Linked DNA regions of Rhinolophus ferrumequinum. The protein of the gene in region 4 interacts with the protein of the main gene of each other region in a biochemical or structural test. Links are inferred from orthologs where the notes say so. Each region holds a gene or a part of one and is shown on either strand. Other genes may lie near its edges.

The links.
Region 1: the proteins of LRP1 (region 4) and THBS1 form a complex in vitro, tested with the Homo sapiens proteins (3 studies listed by BioGRID). The link is inferred for Rhinolophus ferrumequinum from reciprocal best matches to the Homo sapiens genes LRP1 and THBS1.
Region 2: the proteins of LRP1 (region 4) and LPL form a complex in vitro, tested with the Homo sapiens proteins (3 studies listed by BioGRID). The link is inferred for Rhinolophus ferrumequinum from reciprocal best matches to the Homo sapiens genes LRP1 and LPL.
Region 3: the proteins of LRP1 (region 4) and APBB1 form a complex in vitro, tested with the Homo sapiens proteins (2 studies listed by BioGRID and IntAct, with this or other methods). The link is inferred for Rhinolophus ferrumequinum from reciprocal best matches to the Homo sapiens genes LRP1 and APBB1.

What each region holds. Positions count from the first base shown.
Region 1 is NC_046289.1:65,322,262-65,329,423, reverse strand, and holds the start of THBS1 (thrombospondin-1), read left to right. Parts: upstream 1-4,012; 5' UTR 4,013-4,182; intron 4,183-4,727; 5' UTR 4,728-4,756; coding exon 4,757-4,823; intron 4,824-5,103; coding exon 5,104-5,663; intron 5,664-6,558; coding exon 6,559-6,634; intron 6,635-6,913; coding exon 6,914-7,113; intron 7,114-7,162. UniProt on the Homo sapiens protein: Adhesive glycoprotein that mediates cell-to-cell and cell-to-matrix interactions.
Region 2 is NC_046301.1:52,062,886-52,070,766, reverse strand, and holds the start of LPL (lipoprotein lipase), read right to left. Parts: upstream 3,018-7,881; 5' UTR 2,729-3,017; coding exon 2,641-2,728; intron 1-2,640. UniProt on the Homo sapiens protein: Key enzyme in triglyceride metabolism.
Region 3 is NC_046294.1:45,383,660-45,390,782, reverse strand, and holds the start of APBB1 (amyloid beta precursor protein binding family B member 1), read right to left. Parts: upstream 3,113-7,123; 5' UTR 2,981-3,112; intron 2,686-2,980; exon of another isoform or gene 2,534-2,685; intron 2,353-2,533; exon of another isoform or gene 2,285-2,352; intron 1-2,284. UniProt on the Homo sapiens protein: Transcription coregulator that can have both coactivator and corepressor functions. Adapter protein that forms a transcriptionally active complex with the gamma-secretase-derived amyloid precursor protein (APP) intracellular domain.
Region 4 is NC_046293.1:56,173,651-56,181,713, forward strand, and holds the start of LRP1 (prolow-density lipoprotein receptor-related protein 1), read left to right. Parts: upstream 1-4,959; 5' UTR 4,960-5,424; coding exon 5,425-5,491; intron 5,492-8,063. UniProt on the Homo sapiens protein: Endocytic receptor involved in endocytosis and in phagocytosis of apoptotic cells. Required for early embryonic development. Involved in cellular lipid homeostasis.

The DNA.
Region 1 (7,162 bases), on a different chromosome or scaffold from region 4:
TATATATTTTGGATATTAGCCCCTTATCAGAGGCAATGCTTGCAAAAAATCTTCTCCCATTCGGTTGGTTGTCTCTTTATTTTGTTGATGGTTTCTTTAGTTGTACAGAAGCTTTTTAGTTTGATATAGTCCCATTCACTTATTTTAGCTTTTACTTCCCTTGCCTTTGAAGTCAAATTCATAAAATCCAAAAATATACAGTGAAAAAAAGACAGCCTCTTCAATAAATGGTCCTGGGAGAATTGGAAAGCCACGTGCAAAAGAATGAAACTAGACTGATATCTGTCACAATGTACCAAAATTAACTCAAAATGGGTCAAAGACCTAAACAGAATTCTTGTTCATGTCCAAATGAAAATGTTGAAGACAGAGAAAGCCTGGTTTCACATGGCTCCTTCTTAAAAGCAAGAGAGAACATTTCCCCGAAGCCTTCAGCACACCTCTCATAGGCCAGAATTGGGCCATGATAATTCCCAAATCAGTCACTAGTTGGGAAGTGGGAGGTGGTGGTAGAGAAGGTAGTTACCCTTAAAGTAATAGTTCTACCCCTTCCCACGGAGATCAATTTGCCGAGTATATGCTTCGATTCTGTAGGGAGGAGACAATGTTTGGGAGTCGATCACCTTATCCACCCCAAGAACTAAGCGTAACTGTATGAAACGGTATAGCTGGTTAGGGAAATGGTGAGTAGTTCAGTCCAGTCCTTCTGTGCCATAAATTGACTTGAGCATAAATCACTTTGGAAATTCAAATATTAGAGCTCTTCTCAAGCCCGAGACTTTGGGTCTTTACAATCTAGTCCTTACACATATGAAAATAAAATTGATTTTTAAAAACTAAACAATGAAGAATGGAAGGTGATGGGTTATGTGGCAGAGATAACGTATGCTTCAAATTTCACAGAAAGAAGAAGCAATGCAACATAAAGCCACTGGAGAACATCTCGTGAAGGAGAGAGAGCTGGAGCTGGTGTTCGATTGAAGGATAAGAAAAATCTGTTGGTAACTTTTCTCTGGCTCTGACCATGGAGGCAGCTGAACTAAAACAACCATGAACCATGATGTAGGGAAAATAGTCAGAGGGAATGAATTTATGATGTCTTCATTTTAGAGATGCTGTGATTTGGGTCTATTCTAGAATACAGAGAGTTTTGGTTGCTGCTCATTTCTATGAAATTTTCCACTGCTGAACATTTCCAACATGTTTTAAAATCCTTACATAAAATCACAGCCCACCTTGCTGTTCTTTGCTAGATAAACAAAATTTTTTCTCAATTATCTTGCTCTCCTTAATTGCAATTTTTAAAGTAGCTGTTACTGGCAGTCCTTTCCTTCTATTTACTGGCAATGTTCTTAGGTCAATCCCATATCCAATTAGGGAAACTTGGAAAAAGGAAATCCTACAGTGAAATGCCATATGCCTTACAATTTTATGTTAAATAAGTAATCCTCAAAGACGGCAACTTGGCAAGGAGAGAAGTGGATCCTCTCCCTGGAAGTCCCATCACTTGGGTCTGTATCAGATTATTGGCCTGAAGTCCCAGCACTTGTAGGTTAAGGATATATAGTAGGTTAAGGATACATACACACAAGAGGGATGATAGCCCCTGTATTAAAAGTATAGGTTTTCTTTCCTGTTTTCCCATTCCTCCTTCTCTCAAAGCTTCCCAGAGGTATTTAGGTTTCTTGGGAATATTTTCAGCACACATTGACCAGCAGCAATGTTGGTCAGACACCCACACAGCTGCCCAGACACCCTGTAAACTGTGATCCTTCTATTCCAACACAACAACTAGAGTCCTGTGACTTGGGGAAGGCCTTTGTATTTGAGATAAATAACTCCCGTACCTCTGTCAGCTTTCTCTGACAAGATGGCTCTTCCTGCCACCATACAGGTCACCTTCCTATTTGTAAAGCATGTAGAAGGTTAAAATTCTTCTCGTTGTGTTGAAAGAAGCTAAGTTCCAAGAAAACCCCAGATGCATTCCTATAGTCCCTTAATCAATGAAGCATCTAGCCAGGAGGGGCATTCCAGTGAGCTTCTACTCCATCCCTGTGGCTAAGCCTACGGGAGATGATCTTTTTCTAAAAGGAGAGATGTACCCTGCTTTTGTGGACCTCGAGCCCTCAGCTGACCTGTATAAAATTAGCACGTGTGCCAAAGGAGCAGGGGGCCATCGGCTAGCCATTCCTCGGAAAGCTGTTCCTAAGTACCTAGTCTCATGAAGAATTAGTAGCAAGTGACCAAGAAAAAAAAATCACTTTTCAAGGAGCGAACAGAATGCTAGCAAGAGAAGGAAGGGGAGGGACGTGTATGGCTGCTGACTCTGGAATCTTCAGATCTGTTTGGATGAATCATTACTTATGACTTCCACGACAGGAATCTGATATGACTAATCATCTGATAGAGACTTTTATTTCTGTCTCTCAACATGTGAAATCTATCTGACTGTCAGGTTTAGTTATTACTTAAGCAACAAACAAACATGTGTCTTAGGAACATACTTGTCATCTTCTAAAGCCACTTGATGTATATTGAGTAACTGGAAAAAACTCACTCCACAATCCACACACACATGCACCTTGTCACACAACACTCCCATACAAGAAAAGTGAAATTGCTGTTTGATGAATGTAAATTCGTGGGTGTTTCCAGCAATTAGGAGTCCTGCCAGGTGTGAGTGCTAGGAAGGGAGGTGAACCCCAGGGCTTTCCCCAGCCTGTGGCTGAGATCCTTACTAGGTGAAGCTACTACCTGCCCCCGTGTCTCAGGGCCAGCCCGATAGTGCTGGGACCACAGCGTGGAAGGGTGGCTGCTGACATCCCAGCCCGAAGAGATGAATGGAATTCCAGGCAGCTGGAGTCATGCTGGCTTGGGACAGTGGCTTGGAGACCAGACTGCCAATGACAGAAGTTTTAAGTGGCAGCATTCATGGCAATTGGTGCACCCACAGAAATGTAACCCACGCCTCGCTTTCAGGAGCCGAAAAATGAAAAGAACGTTTAGGGAGCGTAAAAAGGAAATAAAATAATAGGCAGAGGGTAATTTATTATTTTATGGGTCTGTTCTGTAAATAGTTTAAAACCTGGAGCCAGATGGTTCTGCAAATTATCCAACCAGGAGTCACGTTAAGAAGCACGAGTGGGCACAAAAACTGTTTTTCAAGACACAATTTCAGTTTTGGCTTCAGGGAACTGGATGCGAGTTTCTTTAATATCCCTGACTAGAAAGCTGTCCTCTCCGTCCCCTTGATCACAATACGCATACCTCCCCCAAGCGGTAAACTGTGGAAGCGCTGTAGCAATCGGGAGGAGAGACGTTCGCGGGGACTTGGGCGACAGGAGAAAGTGTGCCCCGACCGGCAGCGGGAACGCGAGCTCTAATCACTGCCCTGCGGGCCGGCATGACACCACACTCACCTCCCCGAGTGGGTCAGGCGGAGGGCAGAAGCGAGACGGCTCGAAGCCGGGCGCGTGGTCCTCCACCCCACCCGGATGGATGGATGAGGGTCAACAAGCACACAAGAAGGAACTTCTTTAAAGATTGGTTCTCTCTTGGTCACATTTATCCTATCGGGCTTTTTTTTTTTTTTACTAACGGGCTCGGTCTCCCAGTGTGCACCCCTCAGCCATCGCCCTGGCGTTCAAGGAGACGAGTTTGTCTGATAGCCCCCTAAGGGTCTTGGATGGGTGGCTGAAGCCCCGTCGCTGCTCGGGATGCTTACCCTGAACCCATTGGCGGCGTGGCGCAAGAGCCAAAGTGCTGAGCCCGCGTGCGCCAAGGCCGCGTGGGCGGGCACCAGGTTTTCTGAGAAGTTCCAGGGCCCTCGGGCCCCGACCCCTGCCTCCCCCTTCACTTTCTAGCTGGAAAGTTGTGCGCCTAGCGGCGGGGGGCGGAGAGAGGAACCCAGACTGGCCCCCCTCCCGCTTCCTGCCCGGCCGCCTCCCATTGGCCAGAGGAAGGCCCAGGAATGTGAGCGCCCCTTTAAAGGCGCGCGGCTCCTCCGCCTCGCCAGCCACTGCAGCTGAGCCGGCGGGCCCATCCGGAACTCCTGCGAGCTCTCCCTACCCGGCCTCCGACTCCGGCCGAAGCCCCCCCAGGCGCACCGCGCTCTCCAGGACTCGGCGCCGGACGCTTGCACCCTCGCCGCCACTCCGGGCCGCTGCGCCCGTGTGCACACAGGTAAGGAGTCTCCGGGCTGCCGCCTAGGAGCAACGCTGCCCTGGCCATCCACCTGATGCTCCGAGGATCCAGCCCCTCCGGGGCTCCGGAGAGCAAACTCTCCCCCTTTGCCTTCCCCATCCTGTCCCTCCCAGCCGCTGGGGGATTCTTCTCGTGGTAGGGCTCCAGAGCCATCCTCTCCAGCCTTGGGGTTCACAAACCACTTGTCAGGATATCCCAAGTCCCTCTCTAGAGAAAAGTCTACAATACCCTCCCGGCGCCCCCAAACTACATCTCCTGGTCCTGCTGCTTACTCTCCACCTCCCTAGGACAAGACCCCAGATGTCTGGTTTTTCCCCCTCCCCATTTTAGAATCACAGTCTCCTGCTCTCAAATCTCCTTTTCTTCCTGATGCCCTCTCCAAAGTCAATTCTGTTGTCCCTCATTCCAGCAAATGCGGGGCCATAGAGAGATCCCCAGGTACCTGGCCCTATGCCCATCCCCCAGTTACTGCCCACCCTCCCTGCTTTGCTGTCTCTTACCCTGGGCTCTGCTTCCTCCTGCAGGCTCCCTGCTGGGCACAAACAGTTCCACCATGGGGCTGGCCTGGGGACTCTGTGTCCTGTTCCTGTTGCATGTGTGTGGCTCTAGCCGCATTCCAGGTGAGTCTGTATAATACCTTTGAGGCGGGAAGGAAGAGGTGGTGGTGCTGGTTACCCCAGGTGTGCTTTCCTCCCAGCTCTCCTTTCCCAGCTGTTTCTCCCTGAGCCCCAACTGAACACCAGGAGGCAGGTTCCCTCTGACTATGGTGTTTATTCAGCTTTCAGTGGTTGCCAGGAGTTTTCACCCTGACCTCTGGCCCCACCCCTCAGAGCTGAGGCACCCCCACCCCCACCCCGGGTCCCATTCTAGAAAGCTCACAGTGTGTATTGCTCCTAACAGAGTCTGGGGGAGACAACAGCGTGTTCGACATCTTTGAACTCACGGGGGCTGCCCGCAAGGGGTCTGGGCGCCGACTGGTGAAGGGCCCCGACCCTTCCAGCCCAGCTTTCCGCATCGAGGACGCCAACCTGATTCCCCCCGTCCCTGACGACAAGTTTCAAGACCTCGTGGATGCTGTGCGGGCAGAGAAAGGTTTCCTTCTCCTGGCCTCCCTAAGGCAAATGAAGAAGACTCGGGGCACACTGCTGGCAGTGGAGCGGAAAGACCACTCTGGCCAGGTCTTCAGCGTGGTCTCCAACGGCAAGGCGGGCACCCTGGACCTGAGTCTGACTGTGCAAGGGAAGCAGCATGTGGTGTCAGTGGAAGAAGCACTCCTGGCCACCGGCCAGTGGAAGAGCATCACCCTGTTTGTGCAGGAGGACAGGGCCCAGCTGTACATCGACTGTGAGAAGATGGAGAATGCTGAGCTAGACGTCCCCATCCAAAGCATCTTCACCAGGGACCTCGGCAGCATCGCCAGACTCCGTATCGCAAAAGGGGGTGTCAATGACAATTTCCAGGTGAGGCCTCTTCTCCGATTCGTGGTCTGTGTGGGTCACCTGCTAGCCAGCTGACCTGTCAGGAGGGCTCTAGCAGGAGAAGCAGAGGTTCCCGTACAGGAAATACTGCCTGTGGACTACAGCAGTGGTTGTCAAACTTTAGGGAGCACCAATATCACCTAGAAGGCTCGTAAAACTCATACTGCTGCACCCCACCCAGTTTCAGATTCAGTAGGTCTGGGGTGGGCCTGATCGTTTGCATTTCTAACATGTTCCAGGTGAGGCTGATGCTGGTGGGGGGTGTTTTGGGGAACCACACTTTGAAAACCACTAAAGGAAACAAATGGTTTTTCTATAGCAGCCTGTTCCAGCTTTAGATACTCCTTATACTTTTCTCAAGAGAATAACTTATTTCAAATGCATTCAGCCAATTGTAATATTGCTTGAAATGGATACTTTGTTCTAGCAGAATAAATACCACTCTGCTATTTGATCCCTCATGGGGATGTAGCTGGTCTCAAATAAAAGGTTAAAATAGTGGTGATTTGCTGCTGCAGCTTCTTCCTCGCTTAAACTTCTAGATCTTTGCAACGGGGGCTTTGAAACTCCCACATTTAATTCTTTGACACTAGAGAGTGTCATTATATCCTCTGGCCTTCGTTTCCATTTCCTGTGTACCCAAGTAGGCTGATAACTGAATTCTTTGTAAAATACTGAAGACTTGGCAGAAGATACAATTAAGATTTTGAAGTTGTCTGGCAATTTATGTTGGTGTGTTACTTTGACATGGTGATCTTAAAAGGGAGCTCTTTCAAACTTTTAGAACATCTATTGTGTGCTCTTCCTTGCATAAACAGTCTCTCCCACCCACGTAGCTCTCCCAGCACTCCACGGGTAACGTGTCCTCTGCCCACAGGGGGTGCTGCAGAACGTGAGGTTTGTCTTTGGAACCACACCAGAAGACATCCTCAGGAACAAAGGCTGCTCCAGCTGTGAGTACCCTTCTGTTTTTTAGGGCCTATCGGGAAATTAGGGGAATTCCACCCAAAACAAGCTGAGACATTTAAGCAGTGTTGGTTGTATATAAATTACCCTGGGTAGCAGTTCAGAGGTATTTAAACGTGACCTTAAAGGCTATTCCACACACATGTCCCTTTTACCTGCTGCCTACCTCACCCCAAATGAAATGTCTTTTACAACGAGGAACTCAGGCTGGCCGATGAGAGCATCTTCCATTACTTTTCTCATTGTGATTATTTGCTTTGTGGCAGCTACCAATGTCCTTCTCACCCTTGACAACAATGTGGTGAATGGCTCCAGCCCCGCCATCCGCACCAACTACATTGGCCATAAGACGAAGGATCTGCAGGCCATCTGCGGCATCTCCTGTGACGAGCTGTCCAGCATGGTCCTGGAGCTCAGGGGTCTGCGCACCATTGTGACGACGCTTCAGGACAGCATCCGCAAAGTGGTCAGTGGCCTCTGCTCCCATCCCTTGAGCATGAGCCCCTGACAGTGGA
Region 2 (7,881 bases), on a different chromosome or scaffold from region 4:
CTCTTTGAAGTTTCTATTCTCTCTCTCTCTCTCTCTCTCTCTCTCTCTCTCTCTCTCTCACACACACACACACACACACACAACTCCTAAAGGACTCTATCCTAACTCACATCCTCTCTGAGATGGATGGGCACAGTTATTGACTCAAACAGCTTCTGTAGAATGCCAAGAAACAAGTCGAATAGATGAAAACAAAACAGTTTGGGGAGGGGGAAAAAAATCAGTATTGTTATCTGACGAACCGATTGGTCTTTTCAGGTATTCCAATGCAGACAATGTTCCTGACTTACCTAACAAGCAGATTTGCTCTTCATTTTTGTAGGGGAAAAAAAATGTTTGTAAAAATAGAAGCAGTAAACTGTATAGCCCAATTTTTCCTCCCAGAATAAAGCAAGAAAGGAGGACTGAGCTAAAAATACACTGCCTGAAAGAAAGTGAAAGTTTTCCACGTAACTCTTCCAATACAGCTGTCTATCAATCACTCCCTCACCGAGCTCTGCTCCATTGCAAGTAGTATCTGCTATTTTGCTGTCATAATCCATCATGTTTAATTCAGATGTTAGTCTGGAAATTCACTAAGTCCAGTCAAATAGAACCGCAACTACTGAGTACTGACCCATACATTCCATCTCCTAGTTCTTCCAGTTTCCTGATAAGGCCACACAGAGATTGTGGTGGCTCCAAGAACAAGGAACCTGAGGGCATTGCCTCCTATCCTCATATTCTTCTTACAATGAACTGAGAATAAGTAAAGTCAGAGCCCACAGGAGGGGCCCTTACACCTGTAGCTTTCGGCTATGAAATTCTTACATCTTAAATAAACTTATTTGGAGGAGAAAAGAAGCCGAAAGTTGCTGTGACGGGAGATGCACACTATAAAGAGGGGTTGTGTGGAGTGAGCGTAGGAGGGAAAGACAAGGGATTAATTTCAAGTCTACTTAAAAAATGATTCCTCCTTTAATACATTTACAGTCGGGAAAAGCATGTGTTTGTTAAAATCCAATTTAATTCATGAATCACGTAAGTGTCCATTTAAATCAAAAAGTAAGACTTAGAGGGGCCTATGAGAACTCTGAGTCTGGTCCAAACTCTTCATTTTAGAGTTGAGGAAGCCAAACTCGGAAAGGTGACACTGACTAGCCCAGGAATTTAAGGTCCTGAACCTCTAAGGGAGCCTAGCAAAAACTTAAACTGTGGTTGGCACATATTTGTGCGTGTTTTACTACACTATAGTGCACTTTTAAAAATAAGAATCTGGAGTTTGTTCCTACCATCTTCTTGGACAGCGTTAAATACTATCCAAGGGGAACATGCCTCCACATAAGAAGTTTAAGACTTTCTAATTGAAGCCCTGACAGAAACCGATCTGACAGAAAAGATACTCGTCTTTATTATCCAATTCAGCTTTCATGGAATCCACATTTTTTTTAACCTAACAAAAATGTTCTTTCCCACAACTCGGTACTGCGGTAAACTTTCAGCTACAGTAAAAGTCACGGACAAACTCGACTATAATTTGAACCACTGCGAACTTGCCGCCTGAAGGCGCATCCAAGCGACACCGCCCTCGCTGCAATTCCACGAAGGAAAGAGAAAAGAAAATGCTGCCTCCTTTCATGACTTGTTTCAGTTGCCTTTTTATAAAGTTGCCGTTGTATATTAGCTGAACCAAGGCTCAAGTTAAGCAGGCTGTCTCTATTGTGGGCAGGTCTCGGACAGGGGGCTGGTTCTCCCACCACCATCCCCCTCCACCTGTCTGCCTGCCCCGCACCTCACACCGCGATTAAAGAAATTTGCATCTGGCTTCCAACGCCCCCGACTCCCCGGCGATGACGAGTTCAGCCGCAGCCTCCCGGCGATGCCCCGAACGGGACTCGGCTCACAGGACGGTATGGATAGCCAAGTGCAAACCGTGCAACCCCTAGATCAGCGGCCACGTTTTCAAGAGGGTCACCCCTTCGCTAGATTTTCTGCGCGCTAAGAAGAGCGGAGCGTGCAAGAGTGGAAGGTGGGGAACTTCCGGCGCCGGAACGCGTGCAGGATGCCGCGTCCCCAGACCTCCGCTCCACGCGTCGCGCGTCCCCCACTCCCATCTGCACGCGGAGGGTGAGGGTATCCTGTGCCTCTAGGATGCGGGCAACCCTTCCTCCCGCCCGATTCCTGCTTCTCCCGGAGAAGGGGCCACTTTCTGCCCGCGCTCCCACAGGCGGGGCCCGAGCCGCAGCTGCTGCCACGCCAGGGTCACCTTGGCCTGCGTGCCTTTCATTCCAGTCGGTCACCGCCATCTGGGCCCTTCCTCCCGCCTCCCTCGTCCCGCCCCTCACACTCCCCCCGTCCCTTCCCGGCCGAGCCCGGGCGCCAGGGAACGGCCTCCGCCAGAGCGGAGGGGACAGCGCGGGAACCCGGAGAGAGCGAGAGAGCGGGAACTAGGAGCTGCCCCAGCGAGATCGGAGGGACAATTCCCTCCCCTCTCTCAGCGGATCCCGCCCCGATGACTTTCCGGAGCCGCACTCGGGCTGGAAGAGTCTCCGGAGCGCATCTGCACCCGCTTCAGACTTTCTCGTTCGAATCCTCACCATGCGTGGAAGTGGCCACTGAGCCGAGTTTACAGGAGGAGCGGAGTGTGCACGCAAAACTTACTGTCGGCGGCGGCCAGCCCTCCGCGGGAGGCAGTCAGACTCTGGAGGCACACGCCCAGAGCCACCAGGAGCAGCGCTTTGCTCCCCATCTCGAAGCGCGTCCCTCTCTGTAGGAGCTACAGGTCACGGGAAGAAGCGCGGACAGATTGATGGACCTCGGAGCCCGAGGCAGGAGTAGGCTGGAGCCGCGGTCCGGCGCCCAGCAAGTCGCCCTTTAAAAGGGAGGGCAGGGCAGCTAGAAGTGGCAGGTTTCCTCGGAGGAGAAGGAATCGAGTCTGACACTGTTTCCACTCCACGGCTACTTATGTGACTGGAAATATGCAAATAAACCTCATCACCTATTGGCTATAAAATCATAAGTTGGGGGGAGGGCCCTAAATTCACTTCCAAATATTTGAGCAAACTGTAGTGAGGATCAACCCTGCCAGCGAGAAGAGGGGGAAAGGGCAGAGAGAAATTTTGCTTTCACTGTGTTTCCTACTTGCTTTTCCTAAGGGGTCTGGCTCTCCAGGGCCCCCTGTACAAGCACCAAACACAGGTTTATGTGGATTTATATTAAATACTCCGCAACCACCAGTTTTCCACGGAGGACAAGTAAAGCTGTTAAACTACATTTGGGATGCTTAAACCCACTCCTCTTTTGATGGACCCTGTTTGTAACTTGCAGGGTTTTTTCCCCAAAATTCTCCCGGACAATATCAATTTAGGGATCCACAAACACACGGTTTTCTGCAGCTTGCGCTTGAACAATCTGGTATGTTAACATTGGCAAAATGGATTAGCTGATGTGGTGGAGAAAAGCCTTCTTGCTCTGATTACTAAGTTTTGCCTCGTGCAAATTATACTCAAACCCATCAAAGAATGCAAGTATAACATTTTATTCTCAGAGGCAGAATATTGAGGTCAAATAATTTAAAACTGTATTGTTATGCAAAGTGAAAGAAGCCAGTCACAAAAGACACGTATTGTACGATTTAATTCCATTTATATAAAATATCCACAAATAGGCAAATCTTATAGACAGAAAGTAGATTGGTGGTTGCCTGGAGCTGGAGAATGAGGTTGGGGGTGGAGAATGGAGAAGTTTGGGGGAATGGTGATGAAAATGTTTTAAATTACGTTATGGCAATGGTTGTACCACTGGGTAAACATACTAAAAAAACATTAACTTGTACATTTTAAGTGAGTGAACTTTATGGTGTGTAAATTATATCTTAATAAAGCTATTAACACAGATGCATTAAGGTATGTAAGTAAAAATAATAAGAATAATGAAATCACGTGGGAAATTGTTTTTTTGTTGTTTTGTTGTTTTTGTTTTGTTTTGTTTTGTATTTTTGCCAAAATGCTCAGAATACTCTCAAATGTCTTTTTAAGTATAAAGGATTTGCATTAGTCAGAAAGGACAGTTTAACTCTATACTCTTCACTTTATATCTGAGAAATAGATTCAAAAATAAAAACCTTCAATTCACTGTCCATATTGGATTATTTCTCTGAACATCTTTATTGCTTCCTTTTACTCATCCCTCCCTCCATCTCTCTCTCTCTCTCTCTCTCTCTCTCTCTCTCTCTCTCTCTCTGTCTCTCTCTCTCTTTCTCTCTCTCTCTCTGTCACACACACACACACACAATCTTCATTTGTATGTTAGAAGGATGAAAGTCCATATGATTTAAACGAGGCTCACATTTAAAGTTTTTCTCAAAAATGAAATACACCTGATAATACCCATATAATTCAAAGTGTGTTATTCTATAGAATAGAATTCTATTTTTAAGTTGATGCATTAAATGGCACAACACAATATATTGTCCTGTATTATTGTCTTGCAATTATTGAACAATATGTTGTGCACATTCATCTCACAGAGCATGTGGAGGAATTTTGAAACCTGCCAAGAATTAATCCCCTCAAAAGAACTTTAGAAGTGGCAAAACAGACCATGCAGGTGATGAGTAACTATGATGTGACAGTCCTCCAAAAATTATATAGTAAAGTCTAATTTTAAAAAATGACACGAGGTGAGTACAATTGTGTGTGGTCAAGGTTTAAATGACATATAAACAAAAGTGCAAAATGCCTACTATCTTAAATAAAATACTCATGCAGTCTATTTTCACACATTAATTTTTTTTTAAATCATTTGCTAAGACAACCAAACCATCAGCACTTCTGTGCCTTTCAGAGAACTGCAAGAAGATTGCCTGAGGGAAGTCTGCTATATGTTTAAAATGATTTCTCAAGTTAACAGATAACAAATTCAAAGCAATCAAGAGTTAGAGTAATTCTTCATATATATGAATATGAAATATACACATGAAACCGGTTTTGGCATGGCCTCTAGTGTTACACTGCATGTGCATTCGAATTGCAGAGATTTCCAGGAAGAATTAACTCACAGCAGCTCAGCCTGTTGGAAAAAGCAGATGGATTGGCTCCAATGCGAGGGCAGGTGGTGGGCCGGTGGGTGTGGCGGCAGCGCGCTCTCCTGATTGGCTTTTCTCGGAGCGATCAGATGCCTGCGTTCTCGTGCAGAGGCTCACATGACCTCCAAGTCCAGACTGCATGTGCGTTAGCGAGGCGCCTCATCCAAGCTTCAGCAAGGTTATTTGATCACCCACACCGTGAGGTATGACGGTTTCTGTAATTGACATTTCCTTTGTAACAGACTTAAAAAGTTTCAGTTTAAAAGAGGCTAAGCTTTTTATAGATGTTCAGCAAACCAGTACTCATGACTGGACGTCTTCTCCTCGTATGAGTTTAAAATGACGTAAGTAGAAAGTTAATTGTGTATACCTAAAGAGACTGCCAGAAACTCCAGAACTCCACATGTAGGGAAACTCTCTCTCTCTCTCTGTTTCTCCTCCTTCCTATCTATCATCTCTTTCTATCATCTATCTGTCCTCTATCATCTATCTAAGTATCTATCTATTATTTAGATTGAGGGCTTGCTATTTGCACACACTGGGCACTTTTCAATCCTTTCTGTATGTAATCATTACAAAAACACGGTGAGCTTAATAATATTCCCATTGTACAGATGAGGGAAGATAAAATTCAAGGAAGATTAAATAACACTAACCACAATTCATACAGTGTTTTTTTTCTTTAGTGATCCCAGAAAAGGAGGAAAATGTATTTGATGTGTTATGTTAGAATGTTGCTGTAATTGCAAACCGGAAAAGCCTGGGAAGCAGATGTGTTTTGTACATGCAGAGCTATGATGAAATGCCTGGGCTCTAAAAGAGCATCAGTACTGAAATGTATCTGGTGTCTATCGCAAAAATTATGTTTAATGTAGGAAAAGAGCATTACTGGTACAAATGAAATTTACAAATACAAAATCATAAATATAAAAAGGTTTTTAAAATATTTTGACTTTTAATAAGAAAAAAACAAAACCAAGATGTTTACTAAAAATTCCCATAGACTTTTCCACTGCTACCCACTTATATCCTGGCCTTAAACTGTAAACAAGGAGGAGCGCCAGCTGTGTCCGGATGGAGATGGGATGTGACAGGGTGGGGATAAGCATGAGGTCATAGCTGTAGGAGCTGCCCTACTGGGTAGTTAAGTGGAGCTATTGATCTTGCAGGCCTCTTTGATTCTTTACCCAACAAAGCTAAATTGAAAAAATTCCAAGTAGCAGTTCAAGGGACAATTAAACTCAGAGGGAATATAGTTCTCCATTGATAAAGTTGGGTGTCCTATTCTGGAAAAGTTAAAGTACAAATAAATATTATATTTAGCCAATTTGTTACTGTCTCCTTCCTTCACCCGGTTTGCTTTGGGGGTGAAGGAATTGTGAGGTGTGGAGAGAACTGCTTCAAATAATAAAAGTGTGTTGTTAAATAATCCAGACATATTCTAAGGATTTTGGTTTTCTTGATTTGGGGATATTCATTCCCTCCCCTCTTCCAAACACAAAAGAAACAAAAAACAAAGAGAAAGAAGGAAATCATATTTTAATATCAGAATTAAAAGATTTGTCTAAATAAAGTGAAGAAAAATAAAAGATATACAAATTTTTTTAAAGTGAATTTAAAAAAAAAATAGTGTATTGCAATGGCCTGTCCTGGAACAAGGCATTATGGTAAGGGGGACACGTCAGAACATACCAGAGAGACAGATGCTGTCACAGAGAAGCTACAACAGGCCAAGGGGGAGAAGGATTCCGGCCTTCCCTAGTAGACAGCTAATACAAACTAAAAAGAATGTCCCACAGATAACCTGGATTTATAATCCATGTTTATTTATAAGTAGCTTTTTTCTCCTTCCCCCACCAAAAAAACTTAAAAACTTAAGTTCTCGAAGGAGACTTTCTATCAGACCTAGTTAATGACTTTACTATGCAAGACCATGAATGTTTTTTGCGGAGGGCTTTATGTTCTGAGATAACTTCAGACAAATCATCAAAGCCCTAGACTGACAGGAGTGGACCTGACTCTCAGCACAGACATGTTTGAAGTGCCCCCTGCTGTCTTCCTAGGGACACTGTAACATATCAAAAAAAAAAAAAAAGTATTTTAAGGGGTTTGAAACAATTGACTTGAGTAATCATTAAGCTCTTGTATTGTTATTGGAACTTTTCTTGTTTCTTTTGTTAAATTATTTATAACAATGAAGGAAGGTATTGCTCTTCTCACCTCTGTGGTACTTCCCACAGCATCAGACTGAGAAGTTAGGTGGTTCTCAGTCAATAGTTGTTAGGTGAATTAATAACCCTGAGTAAAAGATGATCCAGTGCTAAGTGGGAGAGAAAGCAGGATATTATTTTATTTTAAATTTTCACTAGATTTAGTAATTATGAAACTTGAAGACACACCACACACACACACACACACACACACACACACACCCTCCTTGCCATGATCTAGTCTACTTGGACCAAATCTATCCAGTTAGGGAAATGGAGGACAACTTCATTTGACTGAAGCTTTCTGTTGGCCTTATATACTTCTCTTCTTCCTTTTAATTGAATTTGTCGTTATAAAAGCTATAATATACTCTTGACCAAAATAAAACCACAAAAGACAAAATTTCAAGCAGTACAAAATTGTGTGCAAACATAAGTCTTTCTCTAACTGCAGACTTCCAATGCTCTAATCTCTCTCCAGAAGCAACTAGTTCCCTTTCTTGTGTATCTTTCTAGAAAAGTCTATATGCATTTACAAGCATAAATGTGTTTGTAAATGTGTGCATGTGTGTATATTCATCCACATATTCACAGCTTATTTTTTAC
Region 3 (7,123 bases), on a different chromosome or scaffold from region 4:
GCTTCAGTTACCATCTATATGCTGATTTCCAAATTTACACCTCCATTTCAGACCCCTCATCTGCGCTCCACACATGTATATCAACTTTTCATTCAACATCTCCACTTGGATGTCTCAAAGGCCTCTCAAACATGCACGCTCATGTTTCTCTCACTCACCACTAAGTGGTCCTCTTTCAGGATCCTGGATCGTGGAATGATATGACCAACCATTCTGTTGTGCAAACCAGAGGTAGGGGTACCATCCTTGACACTACCTTCTCCCTGACTCCCTATACTTAATCCATCTCCAGGTACTGACAATTTTCTCTCTGAGACATATTTCTAGATTTGATCTATTCTCCATATCCACTACCATCAACAATCCACACCAAGAACAAAGACCTTAAGACCAAAATTTGTAACATGGCCTCAGTTGTCCTGCTCAGTTATCCCTGCCTATCTCTCCAGCTCTGGCATTCTGTTCTCCAGCCTCATCGGCCTTCTTTGATTCCTCAAGGATAATATGCTGTCTCTTTCCACACGGTGTTTGCATTTGATTTCCCTTCTGCCTGGAACCTCCTTCCCCTACTTTCTCAGCCTAACTAAATTCTACTCATATTTTACCTCAGTTCAAATGTCACGTTCTCAGAGAAGCCTTCCTGGATTTTCTCTCCCTACCCGCCAGACCAGTTTAGCTTGTGCTCTTTTGTGTTCCCAGGGCACCATCCACATTTCCTTCATGGTATTTAGTACAATTTGTAATTTTATTCTTATTTAATCCGCCCCCCCCAGATTGTCAACTCCAAGGGGATAAGGAACCAATCTATTCTGTTCATAATTATATCTTCAGTGCCTAACACAGTATTTAGTATATACTAGGTGCTCAAAGCATATTAGTTGAATGAATAAATGAACAAACAGATACATTTTTTAAAGGATCATACTGTGTTGAGAGTAGTTATAGGGAGGTAGGCAAGAGGGTATGCTATTAGACCAGTCAAGGGGAAAAGAATGATTGTGGCCTAGATTAAGTTTGGTGGCAGTGGGGATGGAGTAAAATGAATGCATTTGAAAAATATTTAGGTACCAGGATGTGACAGGACTCGGTAACATTAGATGTAGACTGTGAGGGAGTAGAGGTTAATCTAGAATGTTGCCCAGGATTACAGCTTAGGTAACTGATCAGAAAGTAGCCATTTCTGAGAGTTAAAGAAAGAACAGATTTGGAAGAAGGCTAGAGAGGGAACATAGGGAAGATAATTCAGCTTGGGATCTATAGGTTTGGATTCCTGCTGGACTTCCAAGAGGATGTCGTGAGGGCAGTTGGATATTGAATCTAGTCTGAGCCAGATATCTATATCTATATCTATCTATATCTCTATATCTATCTATCTATCTATATCTATATCTCTACCTATCTATATGTCTATATCTCTCTATCTCTATCTATGTATATATCTATACCTATAGGTATAGGTATGATCACCTATAGGTATAGATATAGATATAGATAGAGATAGAGAGATATAGAGATATAGATAGATATAGATAAATAGAGAGATGAAATTTGAAGCCTTGGGAGTGAATAAAATACCCAGGAGAAAGTGCAGAATGAAAGAAGATAGCTCAGAACAGAACTAAGAGCTTCACTGACATCTAAAGGAAAAGGAAAAAGGTATCAAATAAGATTGAGAAGGAGCAGACAATGCCAGGAGAGAAACCAGGAAAATGTTTCAAGGAGAGTTGACACACACCACTGAATACTATGAAAACGTAAAGGGGATAACAGTAAAGTGTGCATTGGACTTGGCCACATAGAGGTCTCAGGTGACCTTGGCTTGAGCAGTTTCAGTTGAGTATGAGAGACAGAAAACAGAGTGAACCGGTTTTAAGAATGAATGGGAAGTGAGGAAATGAAGACAGTAAGTGTAGACAAGGTTTTGTCTTTGAAGAGTGGTGTAAGTTGGGGCTATGCTGGAAGGTTTGGAATGCAAGAAATGCACAGGCAGATTCAAAATAGGTTTCGGAACAACCTCTGAATTGGCGGTGGGAACACTGCTCCTAATGAGTGCTTCTGTGAGTGCTAGGCCTCCTGGCAGAGCTGGGGACACAGCCGGCCCCAGAGCACACTTTTCGGTCGCTGAGAGCGACAGAATGCGGCTTGACAGATTCCAGGCCTGGGACCCTGCAGGAAAACGTGCGGCCTCTGCCTACCTCACCCCACGTCCCCTACCCAGCCCTTCACCTCCCATCCCCCATCCCCCACCCCCCACTGCCCCTCTCTTCGCGTCTCCAATACTTGCCCCCTATTCATCCCGGAGGGGCAGGAGGTAAAGGTCCGGAATGACCGTGCTGAGGACCGAGGTGGAGCCTACAATGGAGGTGGGGGAACAGGAGATGGTGGGAATGCTCGCGGTGCGAGGACTGCCAGCGGAGATGGGGCCTGGCCGGGGGTACCCGGGCCCCCACGGGTAAGGGGCTGCGCAGTCCGCGGGCCGCTGGGGGTCGGGATCCGGCCTCCGGGGCTGGGCGCGGGCCGGGGCAGCTCCTACCTGCGCGGGGAGGCCCCAGGCCGAGGTGGCGGAGGTGGCTCAGGCTGCGGGGCTCGGGCTCCGCGGCGGCTTCTCCATCACAACATCCCCCGCCCAGGAGCGCGCGGGCCGCGGGGCCGCGCCCCGAGCTGCGAGGGCGCGCGCGGGCGGGGGGAGGGGCGCCATCTTGGGCCGAGCGCGGGCGCGCGAGCGCGAGCCGCTCGGGGCTGCACTTGGACGCAGTGTCCCGAAGGGCCCCACCCAATGCCACCCTGCGGCCTCTGTGAGCCCACCGCGGAAGCCTCACGCCAGCAGCTACGCCAGCGCGGGGTTCCCGGGTCCCACAGCGCTACCCACGCGTCTGCCGACCCCTACCCAGCCCGACACCGCCCTCCACCCCGAGGCCCCGGAGTCGCCCTGTGCGCCGGCAGGGCCCCGCCCCGCACCCCCGTGGGGCGACGCACCCACCGGGTAGGAGCCTGGGTGGCTGTGGCGGGGCCAGCCCGCAGCTGCGCAGGGAGGGCTCCGAGAAGGCAGCTTGCTCCGCTCTTGCGGCAGCACTCCCGGGCGTCCTGGTGGAGAGGCGATGAGGACACAGCGCTGGCGATAATAATAGCTCGTATTTATTGACCGCTTACACTGTGCCAGGCTCTGTGTTAAATCCTTTACATGCATTCATCCTCGCGTCAGACTGACCCCTGTGAAATCGCCGCTATTGTTATCCTCATTTTTCAGAGGCAGATGCTGAGATTCAGAAAGGTAAAAAGATTTGCCTGCAGTCACAAGGTGGTGAACTCAGACTGGAACCAGATGTTTCTAGACACCCTACCCCTGCTGCTGAACATAAAGCTGTGACACCATGGCCTTGCAGGTGTCAATAAATCGCTCCCCAGTAGAAATACATAAGAGGTAATGAAGAAGGGGAGAATGGGTGAAAAGTGTGAAGGAAGGAATAGTGGGGCACAGTGTTTACTGCAGATTGCCTGGATAGTGCCATCGTTCCCAGTGGTCAGATCAGTGGCCCAGAGGCCACCAAGGATCATGAGGGGATTGTTACCATCCTGAAACCCTCTCATGGCTCATTCCTTTAAGGCAGAGGTTTTCATTTATGGTAGCTACTATTGTGCAACTGACTGGAGGTGCCGTCAGGTTTCTAACACTTAAAGGTGCCCAAATAGAAATTCGTTATTTCATCCCCTTTATTGGCCTTCTAAGAATTTTCACTGGGGTGAAAAAGAACGCTCCCCAACACACTCCATGTGCATGCACGCGCACGTGTACACACACACACACACACACACACACACACACACAAGAGTAGAGGCAGCTCCACTTCCTCCATCCCAGAGAATGACACCACCATCTACTGGCTTGCCCAAGCTAGAAGCCTCAAGAACGTCTTTGACTATACTTTCACTTGACTTAAGGTGAATATAAATGTTTTAATGTTTTATTATGGAAATTTTCAACTGTATACAAAAGGAGACAGAACAGTGTAATGAACCCTCATATACCCATGACTCAGTTTCAACAATTATCAACTCCTGGCCAAGAGTTTATTATGATTTGACAAACCTCTATGATATATGTATGAACCATGTACCAGGTCCCGAGCTAAGTTTAGGGATCCAAAGATGAATCCGATTTGACTGTAACCCAAACTGGAGTATATAACATCTGATCCTGGTCCTTGGAAAATGAGTAAGAGTTACCCAGGAGAAGAAAGGTGTCCTCATTCACTTATTCATTCTCTTTTGACTAATAATTATTATGTGTGAGACACTGTCCTTGGTGCTAAGCACACATGAAGAAACAAGATTCAGTTCCTGCCCTCTTGAAGTTTAAGTAACAGGGGAAAGACACATTAAACGTGATTAGAAATGTGATGAGTATCTTGAATGAGATGTGCAGGATGCTAGGTAAGTGGACTAAATTTTGCCTGGGGAGATTTGGGGAGGCTTTAAGAAGGAAGTGGCACTTATGTGAGGGGAATGGGGTGAAGGCAATAGAGGTCAGCCATGGAAGAGAAAATCATTCCAAGTCAAAGGAGAAGTACGAGAAGGCCAGTATGGGTGATAGCGGAGAGGCATGGCATAAGTGGAGCTGGAAATGTGGGTAGGTTCCAAATCAAGAAGGGCCTTGTATGTTACGCTGAGGGTTTTAAAGTTTAGTTTAAGGGCAATGGAAAATCATCAAAGGGTTTGAGGCAAGGGAGTGGCATGTTGTCCCTTGCATTTTAGAAGATCACTTCTGGCTGCTAAGTGGGGAATAGATGGGAAGAGAGCAAAATTGGCAGTGCAGGGACCAGTTAGGAAGCAATTGATATAGTCTAGGTGGGAGATGACTATAGTGGTGGGACGAGGATGGAAACAATTATATGGGTTTAGTAAATATTCAGGAGATAGAAATCAGTGATCAATTGACTGATTGGCTATGAAAGTATGAAGGAAAGGATGCCTTCCAAATTTCTGCTTGAGCAAATAAAAAGCCAGAAATATTATCAGTATACTTGTCTTCCCAACCCCATTGGGCAGGATGGCTGCAATATCCAGGGAAATCTCTTCAGGTAACCAGAGGAACACAGATAGGATGGTCAGGGTGTGAAAGAGTAGACTAATTAGCTAAGATGCAAAAGGAAAATGTGCAGTTCACACACAGTGCAGTTTGACCCACACACCGTCTTCCTGAATCCCTGATCTCCTCAATGGGGGAGATCTGCAACGCCTCCTGATCAATGGGTGTCAACCTGTGCCCTTCATCCATCCTTTCTCTACTTGTTTCTCTTCCCCCTTCTGAGGCTCTCCATGGCCTAGGAGTAAACAATAGCTTATGAACCACCTCAGATGCTGTGTGTTGTTCTAACCAATGTAGATCCCTCTGAGGCAGGAATCTTTTAATATTATTCCCTTGGACTTATCAAGAAAAACTTGAATTAGAAGCAAATCCATTCAGAGTCATTTAATCAAGAGCACTGGCTTTATGCATTACCAGGAAGTTGGCACCCAAGTCACCTATATGGAAGAATAGAGCTTTCATCTGTATTAGGAGCAAAGTCACGAAGTGGAGCAAAGGTAGCTTTTTCTACCACTACATGTAAGTATTGCTTTGGTATTGTAATTTTTCTTGTAGTTGATCCAATAAACCCTCTTTCTTCTGGGTGTTTGTTATCATTTGGAAAATGTATAAGGAGTAAAATCTTCCCACATAATGTATGGAGTGGAATTTATAAGTCAGATGTTGGGTCTGGCAAGGACTTCTTCAACATCCTTCTTTGGCAGGACTATTTTAATACATTCCCAGGGAGAGCATATAAGGTGAGAAGAGAAAAGGACTGAGGACTGAACTCTGGGAATGCCAACATTTGGGGAACCAGCAGAGGAAAAGAAGAAAACTGAGAAGAAACAGACAGTAAGAGGAGAATCAGGGGAGAGTAGTGTCATGGAATAAATCCAAGGGAGGGAAGATTTTCAAGGAGGGAGAAGTGGTCAGCAGCATCTAATGCAGCAAAGATTTCCAATAAGGTCAAGGCAAAAAGTATCCTTTGAATTTGGTAACATGGAGGCCATGGATACCCAGGATGTGATCTGTATCAGCAGAAAATGGAGGCAGAAGCCATAATGCAATGAGTTGAGCAAATGAAAATGAGGAAGTAGACTTAGTAAGTGCAGAATGCCTCCTTGAGAAATTTGGAAGAAAGAATGGACAGTAATTGAAAAGTGATATGAAGCTAAAGATTCTGATTTGTCTTTTCTTTTTAAGGTGGTAGAGACTTGAACATGGGCATACACTACAAAAAGGTACCAGGGCAGAAGATGAATTTGAAAGTAAAGAAAAAAGCATCTGAGAGATGGAGCAAGACCCTGGAGGCAATGAGAGGAGGTGGGATCAAGGGCTCACCAGGAGAACTGGAAACCTTAACTCTACAGGCTAAAGGGATAGGCGTGAGGACACGGGTGTAGATGGGGTAATTAATAAAGTGGGAGCAGGCAAGAGGTTGAGGTACTGCATGCCTAGTGACCTCAATATTTTCAAAGTGTTTAGCTGAGGAAGGGACGGAGGGTTGCATGGAAAAGAAGAAAAACCTTACAAGATAGGTATTATCCTGTCATGAACATATTGTTGCGTTTGCTGTTGTTATCTGCGCAGCATCCATTCCCCATTTTACCGGCAACAGCACCTCAGTTTTCTTTGAGACACGTCCCCTCACCACTCTAAGTCTATGTGGTTCAAATGGAAATCATTTGAAGTGGGTCCCACAACCCACTTCAGTGTTAGGCTCCTAACCCATGATGAGATCAAAGTGATCAATTCAGAGATGGGCACATGACTAAATCTGGGTCAGTGAAAATCAGATCCAGGAATTTTCCTGCAACTGTTGGGCAAGAAGTGCTGGTAGAACGTACGCCTGGTGGATATCTTGCCACCAAGAAGGATGAGCCTGCCTGAGAATGAAGCAGAGCTAAGGGAGGGAGAGAGACAGACGCCCGATAACGTCACTTTAGCACTTATATTTACCTCTGCCTGAAGTAACATAAGTCAATACATCTCCTTTTTGCTTACACCACTTTGAATTGGGTTTTATCACTTGCAAACCAGACTTATGACGAATAC
Region 4 (8,063 bases):
GTTTCTAGTTGCAGGGGACACAGCCCACCATCCTTTGCGGGAGTCGAACCGGCAACCTTGTGGTTGAGAGGACATGCTGCAACCAACAACTGAGCCATCCGGGAGGCAGCTCAGCTCAAGGTGCCTGTGTTCAATCTTAGTTGCAGGGGGCAAAGCGCACCGCAAGGGACTCGAGGAATTGAACTGGCAACCTTGTGGTTAAGAGCCCACTAGCCCATGTGGGAATCGAACCAGCAGCCTTCGGAGTTAGGAGCATGGAGCTCTAACTGCCTGAGCCACCGCCGACCCTCTGAGCCATCTTGAAGTAATTTTTGCATATAGTGTGAAGTAGAGGTCAAAGTTCACTTACTTCTCCCATATGGACAGTCAGTTGTGCCAGCACCATTTGTTGAAGACAGTCCTTTCCCCAATGGATTGCTTTGATATCTTTGACAAAATCAAATGACCTTTAAGTGTGAGTTTATTTCTAGCCCTCAGTTCTGTTCCATGAGTCTGTTTGTTGATCCTTATGCCAGTACCACACTGTCTTGATTACTGTAGTTTACAACTCTTGAAGTAGTGTAACTCTTCCAGTTTGGAGGTTTTAAATTTTAATTTTATTATTGTTGTTGTTGTTATTATTAGTAGTAGTAGTAGTATGTAGCATTGGGATTTTAAAAACTCCCTGGGTGACTCTAATGTGCAGCCCAAATTTGAATACTTTAAGAACATTCTAATGTGAGCCAAAGTTTCCAGACCCAGCTTTCTCTGTCCCTATCCTCTAAGGCAATATGATAAACCAATTAGTATACTTGATTATACCTCCTTAGAGGAATCCTCTTCCTCTCCAGCTCTCTGGCTGATGTATTAGGGACTTCCTCAATTTTTCACCTGGCTCCCCACTGCTTCTAGGAAAACAAAAATCTAAATTCTTAGTGTGGCTAAAATCACCCTTTGTATTTAGGCTCCCTGATCTTCATCCATTACCCTCCCCAATAAGTACTTTAAACTTCAGTCATATCATATCAGTTATTCCTCAAATGTTTTAAACTTCCTCATGCCTCCATGCCTCTGCCTGCCAGCCTAAAACACACTTTTCTCCTGTCATTGCTTGTCATTTCCTTCTTTTCTTTCAATATGTAGCCAGGCGTCATTTACCCTGGTCTGCTTTGACCCCCTTATCTGGAATAAGTATCCTGCCCTGGTTCCCATGGCCCTCTGTGCTTGCCTTTATCGTAGGCATTAAGGTACCGTGTTGTAATTGTCAATCATCTTGTTGTACGGCCCCACTGATCTGTATGCTTCTTGAATGCTGAGACTACGTATTTCTACCTCTTGTCCCTACTGCCTAGCAAGGTGCCTCGCACATATGAGGTACCTAATAAATGTTTATTCAGTCTATGAAAACTGGCCTCCAATCTGCATTGTGATTTGGGACAGATTCCTTAATCTCTCTGAGTCTCTATTTCCATATCTACAAAGTGAAAATAACACCTTTTCCACAAGGTAGTTATGAGACTCAAGTGAGCTAATTCATGTAAAATCCATTGCGTGGACCTGGTACATGGTAAGTGCCCAATAAATCTTGGTTCTCTTCCCACCTTTCCATCAGACCTGTCAGAGACACCCTCCCATTTACACCTCTTTAGTTGACCACTAGGTGGTGTCAGTCTCTGGCCTGCCATTCAGTCCCAGAGCTGCCCCTTAATGCCCCATTCCAGTGCCTGTTACTCTCAGACAGGAAAAGGAGATGGTTAATGATTTGCTGGGAGATCCAAAAAAAAGGAGATATCCTCTCCCACACCAACTTCTTTGCCACTGTCACCATCCTAGGTATCCTGATTATGGATTGCAGAGAAATCTTCCTTGATTTCCCACTATTCTCCATACAAGGATTTGAAGATGGAAAAAGCTTCTTAAGAATAGAAGTGGGAGAAGAAGCTGGAGACAGAGAGGGATTGCATAATGAGTTACTATAGAAGAAATATGGAGAAGATGCTTACAGTCACATCCCATTTGACAGGAATTAATTTTGATTGTCTCCTCAACCAGCACAGGTCCTCCCAGTCCTAATGCTCTTGCCAGCATCCTCACCATTAATCGAAAGCTCCTAACCCTGGGTGGATCCAAAGAAGTAAAAGACATAGACATCCCTGCCCTTAAGGAGTTTATGGTCTGGTGGTGGACATAGACCCGGCAAAATTAGGTGCTAATGTCTAGGTACTGAGGCTATCTTTTTTTTTTCTTCAAGTTTTTTATTTAGTTAAGTGTGTTTTTCCAGGACCCATCAGCTCCAAGTCAAGTAGTTGTTTTAGTCTAGTTGTGGAGGGCGCAGCTCACAGTGGCCCATGTGGGGATCAAATCGCCAACTTTGTTAAGAGCACAGTGCTCTAACCAACCTAGCTAACCGGCCGCCCACTGAGGCTATCTTGAGTGCCAGTTCGGAACAGGAGAGATGGGCAGAGCGAGAATTAACAGGAGAGCTTTTCTTAAGAGGGTAGGGAGGAGCTGGGAGAACAGTATAATTAAAGGCTCAGGTAGAAATATGCAATCTTTCACCTTATAGAGACACCCTCAGCAGTTTACATACTGGAAATAACCTAAGTGCCCAACAACCCCAAAAAATAGTGGAGATTCCAAGTAGCCAATATAAAGAGTGAGCTAGATGTGTGTGTACATTATGGAAAGGGATCAAGACAGGTTAATTGAAAAAACCAAGTTACAGAACAGTATATATTGTATGAGCTCATTTGTGGTTTTAAAGGATGTTTATATATATTTATCATTTAAAAAAAAATCTTTTGGAAGGAGAACCATGGAACTCTCAGTAGTGGTTACTGTGAGGGTGGAACTGAAGAATGGGTGTGGAGAACAGCAAGTTTACTTTTCACCCTGTACCTTCCTATACTCTGAGTTTTTTTAGCCACTAATTATTACTACTTTTTATAACACAAAGTTAATAAAAATAAAAACACATTCACATTCAGGAGCTAGTAAGGGTTGGGAGGTAGCAAGTGAGAAGTGTTGACATGCTGTCTGAGGTCAGATTTTGGATGGCCATGACTGGGAGAAGAGTTAGCATTTGATTCCGTTATCTCCAGACACCCAGTAGCGGTTCACCAGCCAGGAAGAGACTAAACAGGGAAAGCAGATTTAGGAAGATTCAACTGTGTGTAAGGTAGTTAGCAGGGAGAGAAATGAGACTCCCCCTTCATAAGTTTCATATGGTCAATCCAGCTAGCTTTTTCCTTTCAAAGCTGTCTGAAATCTGTTTCAATCTGATTTCACTTGGACCACAATATTGGGAGTCCTGAGAGAGGAAGGAACCTAGGAGGCATTCATTAACAACATTTAGAGCGTCCCTGCCATGTGCCTGTCGCTGTGTTAGCCAATGATGGTTGAAGAAAAGGATGAGTAAGTCCCACCCCTGCCTGAAGAAATTCTGCAGTGGAAAATGGAGGAAATCTGAGCTTTATTTCAAAGGAAAAAAATAACAGACCTTGAGCATAGCCTTGCAAGACTGGATATAGTTGGCAAAGAGTCTGAGGTTTCTAGCCTGGGAAACTACAGGCAGATGGCCTTGGCCCTGAGCAAAGTGAGCCCAGAGGAAGCTCTGGTTTGGGGGAAAGGTCAGGTTCCCTCTGGATTCCTCCTCACTGCCATCAATTGACAAGTCCTCCATGCTGCTCTGCTTTCTGCCAGAACTGACAGGAGTGAGGACTTGGGGCCCTTCCTTGACTAGAATTTTAAAAGGGAGAGCGTGGTGCAACCCTCTCTCATGCCTAACCGTCAATTTCTGGCAGCCAAGGTCGCCTGCTGTCTCCCTGAACTCTGACTTCAGACACCAGAAAGACAGCCAGGGTACAGCCTTAAAACGCCGCCCAGAAGGGGGCAGTGGCCAGAAGCACATTCACCGGGCTCTGGAAACAGCCTCGCCTTCTGGACTCAAAGTAGCATTCCCGTACAGGCTCAGAGCCGGGACAAAGGTCCCGCACTCATTAGACATCTCCTTAGAACTCCGGTCCAGAGTCCCTCATCTTATTCCAAATCCCTGTTTGCTCGGAATCTAAAACCTCGACTTGGTGAGAAGCCAGTCAGAAGGTATAAAAAAACAAAACACCAAAGAAAAAATAATAAATGAGCCCCTACCTCTTGGGGCGAAGTGGGGTGGCCCTTCCTCAACCCCACCCGCTGGTGACTCACCTCCCTCCAAACCAGAGACTGCCCCTCCCGCGCCCGATGCCAGGCGACCAGGGCGGGGCGGGCGCTAAGGTGGGCTCCATCTCCAAGTCCTAGGCGGGCAGACAAGCTCCGGCGTGTCCCCGCGGGTGTCCCTGTTTACTCCGAGCCCTGGAGCGAGGTGGGGGCGGGCCCTCGCGGCCCCTCCCCTACCCCGCCCCCCTTCGCCGCAGGCCCCAGTCCTCGTCCCAGTCTTACGAAGTCTCCAAATCAAAGCTCAGCCTTTCCCTGTATCTTCCCTGCAGACTGGCGGCCCCTGCCCCCACCCCAGGCAGGCGAGGCACAGTCCAGGTTCTCGGTGGAAATCAGGCCTCGGCCCAGATTTGGATCCCCAGGTCTTGGATCCCCAGACCCCGCCTGAAATCCTAGGGCATGACACCCAGTTTCAAAGAGAAGCCGCTCCGCTCTCCTTGTCCACTGCCCAATCCCCCCATGCCCCTTCAGCAATCTGCAGCCTGGGGAAGAAAGTCCCAATTAGGGGAGAGGGCGCTCTTGGCCCCAAATCAGCTAGCGACGCCCAGATCCCACCACTCCAGAACCGCTGGCCAGAGCTCCAAATCTCGTAGCTGCTCAGACAGCCCCCTCCCCAGGGCAGCGCGCCAAATCTGCGCATGCGCACTCACAGGACTGCCGCGTAGCTCTTTCCCCCCTCCCTTTTTCTTTCCCCGCCCCTTCTCTCCCTCCTTCCTCTACCCGTCCCCTCCCTCTCCCCCACCTCAGCCCGCCCCGCGGCACCTCTGTCCGGGGAACTGTGGTGCGAGCTCCAGGCCCGTGCACTGAGGAGGCGGAAACGAGGGGAGCCCCCAGAGCTCCATCAGGCCCCTTCCAAGGGCTCCCCCACCCGGTCCACGCCCCCCACCCCCCACCCCGCCTCCTCCCAATTGTGCATTTTTGCAGCCGGAGGCGGCCCGGAGATGGGGCTCTGAGCTTCGCCCAGGGAGGGGGATAGAGGAGCGAAGAGAAAAGCAGGGGTGTGAAGGGTTTGGATTTGGGGGCAAGGGGTGCAGCCCCATCAACAGACCTTCCCTAAGGGACTCCGAACTCTACCTCTTCACCCACGCCCCTGGTGCGCGTTGCGGAGGGCTAGGATAAGAATAGAGGAGGAGGGGGAAAGGAGGAAAAAGGGGGACCCCCCAATTGGGGGGGCGACGGCGAGAAGTAGCAAGACCAGAGGGGAGGGGGCTGCTGCTTGCATCAGCCCACACCATGCTGACCCCGCCGCAGCTGCTGTTACTGTCCCTGTTCTCAGCTCTGGTCTCGGCCGCTATCGATGGTGAGTGAGATTCTGCGGCCCCCTTGGACCCCTGGGGACACCCACTCCCCAGCCCCCACTCCTGCGTTCGGATGGGGAAGGGAGGCGCGGGAGGGGGTGCCTTTTGTTATCCCAGTCCAGCTGACACCGCAGCGGCCCAACTGGGGGTGGGGATGGGGGTCCAATTTGGAGGATGAGGGCCCTGGGCAAATGATGCTTCCGGGGGGGCCCCCCAGCCCAAACAAAGACCAGAGGCCTGGGAATGGAGAGGAGGGTTCCCCCTTTTTCTGATCCCGGGATCCAAAGGCCTTCTCTTCCTATCTCTGGTCGGGGAGGGCCTCCACCTCCCTTACATCCTCCCCCCCTCCACCCCCATCTGAATTGTGAAGGAATCCGGATTTGCAATGTAGGGCTCCAAAAGGGGGTGGAGGGCCTTTTGCAGTGGCCTCTAAATCTGAAAGGGAGAGCCAAGTCAGGGGTGACCCGCTAGGCAGAGGGCAGTCAGGCCCAAGAAGGCTGTGGGTAGAGAGGGAAGGCCACGGAGAGTGCCCCCTGCTTGGGTGTGGAATCGGGGCCTGGGAGACCAGGCTTTGAGGCCTGGGTCCAGGATCCAGATGGCTGCCCGCCTGGGTTCCGAAGTGGGCACTTACCCCCTCTCAGAGCCTCAGTCAGTAGCCTGGATAGGGCTGTATTGGGGAGCAGAAAAAAAGCAAGTGATGCTATGTGACTGAATTTTTCTTAATTCCTGGGAGCTGTGAAATGAAAAACGTCAGATGTCATCGCTGGGGAAGGGGACTGGAGAATAGTCTGGAATGCTGAGGTGGGAGGGTAGAGGAAGGCTGCTTTCTCCCTGACTTCTGGCTTGATCACAGTTTGGACTAGAAGGAGAGTTGGAGGTTGGGTGGGTGGGGGTTATGGCTATGCTCCCACCCCCCAATTCTCTGCTCCTTTGGTAAATGTGTATTTCTCTCCACCATTTCCCCTCCTGCCTTCATATACACATATTTTGTATACTGTAGTTAGGTTTGGGCTAGAACTCTGTCCTTTTGGGGATATGGGGTGCCCCTTCTCCCCTTTTTATGTCAGCTATTTTTTCTCTTACTTATGAGTCACTGGTTCAAGTCTTGCCCAAGCTGGGGACACAGGGTTGGGCTGGGCTGGGCCCCTGATTTGAGAAGCAGTGGGATCTCATCACTTCCCGTCATTTTAGTTCTGTCATCCGGGGGAAAATGGCCTAATACCATCATGCACCCCTCCTCCATCTTCTAAATTTTGCCAGGTTGGGATTGGGAAAGTTTTTCTCTGAAACCAGATTATCTCTCCCTCTCTTTCCCTCCTCCCAAATTGCTTCGGTTGCAGGAGGGAGGTTAGGGGTTCAAGAAGTAGCTGTGTCCAGAAAAACAGCGTATTCACTGGCCCTCAATTATGCCATCTGGGGGACTGTCTGCTCCTCCCCCCCGCCCCCTACTACCTTAATTATCTGCCCAAGAGGAGGAAAGAGGATCTGCCCTGAATATCCTCCAGACCAGCCCTCACAGCCAGCCTTTGCCCATGACTTCCTCTCTTTTGCACTTTCTTTCCTCTTGTTTTCAACCCTGTGAGGTGGGAGGGGAAATCGAGGCAGAGAGATTTGGGTATAGCAGCTCCTAGGAAGGATAGGTAAAAATATTTAAGAGAGAAAGAGAAAGAGACCACCAGGAACCCCATGTCGAAGGATGGATGGAGTTAGAAGCAAGGGGGGGTGAGTCTCTGTGGAGAGCAGCAGAAAAGTTTCCCAGCCCAATCAGGGATGAACCCAGTCACGTCACCCCCAGGATTCTAAAACAGTTCTATTTGCCACACCAAGTTGGTTGGTGGTAAATGGAAGAAGGAGACTGAACGTGTCCTCCTTAACTGTCTCTACCCTTTCTTACAAATTTCACCCAGTCCACAGCTGTAACCCCAGCTCAAACCAACTGTATCAGAAGTCCCAGGGAAAGGACCCCTCCCCAAACACACACTACTGTTCTTACCTTGGGACTGGAGATATGAATCATGGGTCTCACCAGGTTTGGGGTGAGAAAGGGGAATTGCACAGATCCGTAGGGCCAGTGCTATCCAGGTAGCCGAGGGGATTCCGTTATCTCTACCCCTGCCCTCGCACCCCAAGCCCACTGACAGAACTTCCTCCTTTCAGAGAAGAAAACCCTTGGCCCCAGTTTACCTGACTTAGTGTCTAACCTTCCTTCCTGCTGCTCTGAGGCCTGGTTGCTTTCCCTCCAGAGGAGCAGCCCTCAGGACCTGCCCCACTTCTTCTGCTTTCACTGCTATTCTTGAACCTACCCCAAGATCCCCTTCTTTTTGGGGGGCAATGTCACTTGCCGTGAGTAGACAGAATTGAGTGTGCTTGATCGCTACTGGAGAGGATGGGGAAACAGATGGAGTGTGGAATGGGAAGAGGGTTTATTGAGGACTCTGCTCAGATTAAGAACATTTTGTAGTGAGGAGGGCAGCGCCAGGCAGATGTGGCTCAGACAGAGAAGGCGGACTGCCTCCTTTCCTCCGCCTTCCACACACCCCCTTGAGCCAGTGTATTACCAGTTAGCAGACAAGC